Linked DNA regions of Daphnia pulex. The protein of the gene in region 2 purifies or fractionates together with the protein of the main gene of each other region. This does not show direct contact. Links are inferred from orthologs where the notes say so. Each region holds a gene or a part of one and is shown on either strand. Other genes may lie near its edges.

Region 1 (3,819 bases), on a different chromosome or scaffold from region 2:
TCCTCCGCAGCATATTGGAAGTTTTTAGGCTTTTTCTTTAGACATTTCTTCCCCCCATTCTTGTTAGTGGCCATCAGTCCGAGTGAGAAGGCAGTGGCGATTGGATCATTTTTTCTTATTTGTTGGGGGTTCACAACTTGTTATAATAATAATATTTGATTATTTTGGTTTCTATGGAAAATGGTTCGAGTGTGCCAATGACAGTAGCAGTAGTTGGAAGGCTGTCAAAGTAGTATAGCGAGAGAGAAAATTCAGTTGTGTATACCGAACGCGTCGAGTTTGGCTTTTTCAGATCCGGCTAGTGACGTTGTGTGTGTTTCTTTTTTTTCATTTTTTGTTTCCCAATTTGTTGGGATCTTTTTTTTATTTATTTGTGACGAGCTTTTTGGGTTGTTGTACTGTGTGCTCCTGCCGGATGGTTTATATTTGCCACTGCTGCTGCTGGTCGGCGTGTGAGCTGTGTGTGTCTGGAGCTTATTTTACTGTGCACCGGTGCAAGTGATCAGTTGCAGGCGAGTTTTCGCAGCCGACGCTCGCGCCATTTTTTCCCCCCGTTTCTCCATCGAAACTCTTGATGCTTCCAAACGCCGGTTTTTGAATTCAATATAACACCTCGATATAAATTACCAGCCATCTAGGATGAAAACACGACGGAAGGTAAAATCTTCAATCAATCTACGAAATCAATCCCCCCGAATTAAGTCTTGCGTTTTTATTAAGAACCTTGGCTGTTTTCTATTTTGTTTTTAATTGTGTCTGCGCGCATCATCAAGACGAATTTAGCGATAGATTTGGCAATGCTGTGTTGACGTCACCTACCAATAGCAGACGAGTTCCATGTTCCACACCCATTCTTTTATATTTTCTAGTCTCCCCCCCGCCAAAAAAGAAAAAGAAAAAAAGAAAAACTCGCCCACGGTGTGTGTCTGTTGTGTAGTTTTTCGGTATCTATTGAAAAAGGAAAAAAAAATAAAAAAACTTCCATAAGAGAGCAGCACACGGCAGTACAGGTGTCCAGACCGGAAAAGGGCCACCCCATGCAATTAGATAACACACACACAGTTTGCTTGGTGGATGTTTCGTGTGTTGGCAGCTCCCAAAAAAAGTTTCTAGTCTCAACTGGTCGGCTTCCAATTTTTCCGTTGGTGGCAGTTTTTAATTTTAAGCCTTGCAAATTTAACTTTTTTTTTAAATAAAAAATTGCGTCATAGTGTTGCGTTAGTGATTTGGAAAGGCGTGACTTTTTTTTTTAATTAAAAAAAACAATAGGAAAAAGTTAAAAATAAAAATTCCGTTTAGTCCGGCCTTGTTTTTTAAATAAATCTATCGACGCCGTCTGTCTGCTGTTGTTCATGTGGCAAGATGGCCAAGAACGATTGGTGGCGAAAGTGGAAATCGACTTGGTCTGTGAACGCTGCCGTAAGTTTTTGTCGTTTCCTTTCTCCTGTTTTTCATGTTCGGGTATTTTCCCTATCGGATGCCGTTAAAAATGAAAACCACAGACTTTCGTATCCCCTCCCCCTCCCTATGTCGTGTGTGGGAAATTTCGGTCGGCGTCCGTTGGTTAGTTTCGTGATTACCTCTATCTCCCCCCACCCTCATCAACATTTCACGGCATTGTTTCCTGGCCAAACAGAAAATGTTTACCTTGCACTCTGTCAATATTGGATTCTAAATGATTGGAGAGGAAAGTCACAGTTGAGAAACAGTCGCTCTCCAACTTGACTGTAAACACTTGTGTGCCAGTTCTCCTAACGGTCCTGTGACAGTTAATTTTATCAGCTGAATAACGTGTGGCAAACAGTTGGGGGTTTGTGACCCTCCTTCGCAGTGCATTTCAACCTGTCACATCATCAACGAAGCAATGCATTTACTTGATTAATAATTATTGAACCACCAAATGTTGTTTTGACTAATGACGAATTTCCTCTTCTCTTTGACAGATTCAATCTCACCTGTCACCCGGATTGGTCGTGGACAAGCATGTGAGTATATAATAACGCGTGGAATATGTCTAAACGATAATATTGAAATTCCTTTTTATTGTGTGACACACAGGCGAACGGAGGCGATGAATCGGCGTGGGATTACGAAGAAATTATTCTCGAGAGAGGCAGCTCTGGTTTGGGATTCAGCATCTCGGGTGGAACTGACAACCCGCACATCGGCGACGATCCAGCCATCTGTTTGACGAAGATCATCCCGGGCGGTGCGGCTGCCATCGACGGCCGCATGAAGATCAACGACGTCATCTTGAAAGTGAACGATGTGTCGGTGGTGAACGTTCCCCATTCAGCTGCAGTCGAAGCGCTCAAAAGGGCCGGCAACCTCGTCCGTTTGGTGAGTCACCCTCTAGAGACCTTCGTCTACGTATTTATTCGTATAACCTTTCTCTTTTTTTGGTTGTCTACAGAGCGTCAGGCGACGCAGACAGCCCCGATCTCCTCGCATCGTCGAAATTGAATTGTGCAAGGGCAACAAAGGACTGGGATTCAGCATCGCGGGCGGCTCGGGAAATCAACATATTCCCGGCGATAATGGAATTTACATTACCAAGATCATGGATGGCGGAGCGGCTCAAGTTGACGGGCGACTCGCTGTCGGCGACAAATTGATTCTCGTCCGGAATTTACCCGTACGTACCGTCACAAAATAAAACAATAACAGTGGCCGAACTAAAAATCAACCTTTTGTTCTATACAGTTGATGACGGAGAAAAATTTAGAAAACGTTTCGCACGAGGACGCCGTTTCGGCGCTCAAGTGCACGTCAGATCGCGTCGTATTGGTCGTGGCCAAGACGGATGCGCCTCTAGCGCCGATGCAAGTCGTCGGACAGCCCCCTACTACTCTCCTGCAACAAACGCCTCTACTCTCACAGTCGGCCGTCAATCTAACGACTCACCACTCGCATCAGCCTCCGTCTCCTAATCCAGGACTCGGTAAGTTATTCTAAAAATTTTAGTTTGGTCGAGTGTGTGTGTCTGATCGGAATACTGATTGTGGCCGACATCTTTTTATTTTGGCAGCGCCTCTTGACGTCAGCGGTGCCTACGATCCGATCGAAATTCCTGGTGCACTTCAAGTTTCGACTCCGCGGGCCGTTAGCGAAGAAGACATTGCCAGGTAGGCGAAATGCTGTACAATGTCGTAGAAACTATTACAATATCCGAAAAAGTAAAGGCGAAATTGGGGTCAGGCGGTCAGTGTCGACGAAGAGAACGGGTAATCACGTGATGTGGCCATTTTTATTTTCCAGGCAGGGTATAGTAGAGTGTGCGTGCAGTCTCGCGTTTGTTGTTCCCACGTGCAGTGTTAGCCAGTAACGAGCAGCAGCAGCAGCAGCAGCCGCCATTATATATTTAGAAGTCGCAGCAGGAAGGGTGTGGTGTGTGTGTGTGTAAACGTGCAGCAATCTGTTGGTGCCCCTCAGTCGGTGATGAGTCGCGTCCAGCGGCAGTTGGGATATACTAACACACACACAATTTTCTCGTTGAAATAAATAAGGGAGGGGTGTTTGTATGTATGTGTGTGTGACGTCACAGCAACGGCCACCCAATAACACGATCGGATTTTTGTGTGCGCGCCTGGCGTCGTTGCTCGGAAAAGTGTCGTGCAGCTGTCGATCGTTCGACAGACGGACGTGTTGTTAACCCTCTGAATTACTACAGTGTAGACCAAGTGCCCAATGGCCAAGAGCAACAAGAGTCTTGACGATTCGGCCAAGAAATCGGGGAAAAAGAAGAAAACGATTCGCTCCTCCGACTTGGTTCAGTGAGAATAAAAACCCAAATTTTTTAACGTATTTTTCAAACCTTTT
Region 2 (3,819 bases):
ATTTCGACACACGTTACTGTTTCACAGACCAACGGTAACGTGCCGGAATCACGTACAGGACGGACACGTATGCAAACTCTTCGTTGCTGTCCTTGGCGGAGCTGATAGACACCCCCGGAAAGGCAGTCTCGGTGGATGACCTCAACTGGAACGTATTCACCGGAGTCACTCAATTCCTATTGGATGTGACGTCACAACGTTAGAGACTCGACAAGAAACGAGTTGCCAATTAAATGAATACCTGAATTTCCACCCATAATTCAATTCGTCGTGAAACTTCACGCCATTTATCCGCTAAAGATCTCACTTTTGCTAGCTGCTGCTGCTCCACTTCCCATGCGGTTTTCCCTGCTTCAAAAAGAAATACAAAAAATTAAATGGAAAACGCCAAAAAGTACAATTGAAATAGCACACTAAAAATACCTGTAAAACCACCGCTTCGATGGCCCCAAACCTCAATTGACAGCGCCCCTTCACTGCACAGATCCATGAACTCCTCGGTTAATGGCACAGTAAAATCTTTGACGTGATCAAAGCGAATGCGAACATCGTTTTGATTTCGACGATCCTCATCCTCGTTACTTATCACTGTCGGTACCACTACAGCTTCTGCTTGACCGAACATATTATACTGGCAGAAAACAAAATGCGATAAGGATGCCGGCAATCCGCAGACCTATAAATAAAAATTACAAAAATTAGCGGGATGAAGAATAAAAGACAATTGTCAGGATTGCTCACCTGATGAATGCTAACACGACATGTGATCGCAGTACAATGGCCATTGGATGAAGCATCTTCATCTTGCTCGTCCCAATTCTCGCCAGAGTCCGATTCACACATGTGATCGGTAGGAAACTGCCCAGCGATTCTGCTCAATTCCACCTAAGTAACATTAAAGCGATGAACAAACGAGAGTTTAATTATTAAAAAAAAAAATCTGTGTGATACCTGCAGCTTGCCAGCCACTTCTCCTTGCTGAGATATAATAGGAACATAGTAATTCAATCGGACATCATGGAACAGAACATCCATGTAGATATTAGCAACACCTATTAAACTATGGCTCTCTTGCAGCTCATAAAATGGATCCGAACCTGTTAAATAAAAGAATTTTATTTTAGAATGGCACAAAATTATTTACATAGAATCGGGTCCTAAGATACCTGGAGATAGGAAAGGGTTTTCTCTTCTGTTGAGTGGATCCACATTTTTGAATTCGTTGTAGAGATCTCTCATGTCCACTAATTTGACGTCTAATTTATCTAATGACCAGATTTGATTGGGTTTTCCCGTCCGCCTGACGTGAATCGCAGGCTCGCTCACCAGTCCTATTCGCTTACGATTTGGACTTAGATTGGCAGGTGGAATTTGGAGGGTCACACTGAAGCGCGTCTGTTTGCCGAGTTCTTCGGCCAAGACATTGGCTTCGCGAGCGAGGGAATTAGCACGGACAATGTCCTCTCTGAGCTGCGCCAAACTTCGGCGAAATATTTCATCTTTCTCTTGGGCCCACCGTTCTGAACGGGGCGTTCCTGATCCCATTCCGCTACGCAGAGATCGATTGCTGAGATCGAGCGACGAAAAAGATGAAGAAGGCGACATCGGAGAGAGAAGTGAAGTGCGGAGTTGGTGAAAGTGTCGTTCGTATTCCTGTCGTTGGCGCTGTAGGGCTCGTTGTTTGTCTTCTTCGTGCTGCTTCTCCAAACGGGCAATTGCATTCTAACGGGAAAAGAACGGATTAATAAGCTGCCAGCCATTCAACAATATTTTTTAATGCAGCTTACTTGAATGGGGTCATTGGACATTTCTTTCAATACCAGCTCTTCGCGTGCAAAATTGAAATCAGGTTGAACTTGTTCCTCACTAGTTGGACTAGGACGTGGACAGTTAACCCGAAAGAAATGGTTGTTCCCCCATAAAAGACGATCGCCGTGACGAAGTAGTACTCGAGCTATAACCGGAGATCCATTTAGGAAGCATGGTGCCACTCCCAATGGTTCCATAAACAATTGCCCATTCTCGATCAACAACTGGCAGTGCTCAGTCTGGATGCCTAGTCCCGACAACTGGATATCAGGCTGAGTGTCTGCGTCTTGCCGTCCCACAAGAGTACGATCCTAAATAAAGAACAAATAAACGGTACACAGACGGAACAAATGCCAGCTGACGGACAGAATGGGTTACCTTTAAATAGTAGACTAATAGTTCATTAAGTGATGGGTCGGCGTTCAAGTTCACCAGATAGAATTTATTCTTTTCCACTTGAATGCCTGAGGCTTGAACCGAAATGCCCATTTTTTCAAGGGCCTGCTGCCGGTCGTGGTGGACGCGTTCTGTTTTGACCAGTTTCTCCTCCCACGTTTCCGACATGGCGCTCATCAATTTTTCCGACTGATGGAGTTGCTCGCTGAGATCGTCTCGGTAGACGGCATGCTAACAATAAGAACAAATACAGTATTAGAATTACACGTTTCACTACTTGATTTCCAGTCAGGGTTGGAAGTGTTCACGGAAAACATTGCGCCCACACTAAACACGCCTCTTTAATAGTTCTTCTCTAGAGCGGAAATAACTCGGGATCAGACCAAAGACTATAATGCTACTCTCAAAGGGCACGTAAAGTCTACGTAACAATAGAATGCCACATCTCACAGCTGTGCCATAAGACCACCCGCAAGACAGAAATGTCTGTCTATATCCTGGCATGACTTTATTGAAGATGAGAAAAATTATCTGGGCATTCCCACACTTGGCACGGAAAAGAAGAAGTCAAGGATTAGGGTATCCCCAAACTAGCTAATGGAGTATTGTGTATAGGTTTATATTTATAACCCTGGTTCTTAAGGGACTTGAAAAGGGTCCTAAACCAAAGATTTCATCCCATGTTCGCATTTCCTAGGCTTTCTCTAGCCTCCTTAACCCCTAATAAACAATGCCTCTGCTGAAGGCGCGTTCGACGTACCATCACAACGGACTTGAGAGGCTTAAAGAAAGAGAACACGAGGTATAGAGAGACACACTTCGAGAGGTATCCATACGTTTGAAGGGGAAAAAAAAGAGAATGATATTGATTACCTTCAGTTGTTCTTTGAGGAACTCTAATTCTTCTCTCAGTTCTCTGATGATGCGGCCGTTGGGATCTTCGTTAACAACTGCGTGGCAAACAATACGTTTAGCTCTGTCGGCATAACGTAAGGTTGACAAAGTTTCCTCGTAGTTGTCTGAAGCTGGAGATATAGTAGCTACCATGACTGTTCTACTGTTGCCACCCAAGTTGTCCTAAAAAACACGTCGTCAACACATGAAAATGAATTCAACTTTAAATGCGATTTTAAACATACCTTTAGAAGCCATGTTAGCACAGAATCTCGGTAGGGTACAAATTTGTCTTTGTTCTTTAAGGTGGCTTGATCGGCCAATTTGGATATGACTAAACCCAAAGTTGTAAGTGATTTATTGATGTTCGATCCCTCTTTCAATCTGTCGCCGACTGCTCCCGTCTTGGAGACGCGTTCAGATCCAGCCAAATCGACCAGGGACATTTTACTGACCTTTGATTTTTCGTAGAACGGTTAGCAACGTTAATCCAAAAAGTTTGGTGCTATAAAGTTAAAAATTCGAATGAACCTTTTCTCCGGTGACGTCACTAAACGGATCAGTAAATATTTGAGTAAGGATGACGTTGAAAACGGCATGAGAGCGAGACGATTCGCTGTTCATATTGGTTGCGGCTACAGTCCTAGACTTGTTTCCTTCGCCCATAAGCACTTCAATGTCTTGATAAGATGTTACGGCCAGCTGGGCAAGACCATCTAC

What was found.
Region 1: the proteins of kinesin-like protein KIF13A (region 2) and disks large 1 tumor suppressor protein-like purify together in Drosophila melanogaster (affinity purification with western blotting; 3 studies listed by BioGRID). This does not show direct contact. The link is inferred for Daphnia pulex from reciprocal best matches to the Drosophila melanogaster genes Khc-73 and dlg1.

Annotation. Positions count from the first base shown.
Region 1 is NC_060025.1:308,286-312,104, forward strand, and holds part of disks large 1 tumor suppressor protein-like, read left to right. Parts: exon of another isoform or gene 1-639; coding exon of another isoform or gene 640-657; intron 658-825; exon of another isoform or gene 826-1,362; coding exon of another isoform or gene 1,363-1,419; intron 1,420-1,943; coding exon 1,944-1,985; intron 1,986-2,058; coding exon 2,059-2,340; intron 2,341-2,413; coding exon 2,414-2,635; intron 2,636-2,703; coding exon 2,704-2,941; intron 2,942-3,028; coding exon 3,029-3,125; intron 3,126-3,819. UniProt on the Drosophila melanogaster protein: During embryonic development, some isoforms are essential for proper neuronal differentiation and organization. Required for cell polarity; maintenance of apicobasal polarity.
Region 2 is NC_060019.1:7,992,777-7,996,595, reverse strand, and holds part of kinesin-like protein KIF13A, read right to left. Parts: coding exon 3,631-3,819; intron 3,555-3,630; coding exon 3,345-3,554; intron 3,283-3,344; coding exon 3,079-3,282; intron 2,437-3,078; coding exon 2,188-2,436; intron 2,121-2,187; coding exon 1,788-2,120; intron 1,723-1,787; coding exon 1,167-1,722; intron 1,098-1,166; coding exon 952-1,097; intron 886-951; coding exon 742-885; intron 677-741; coding exon 424-676; intron 352-423; coding exon 242-351; intron 177-241; coding exon 1-176.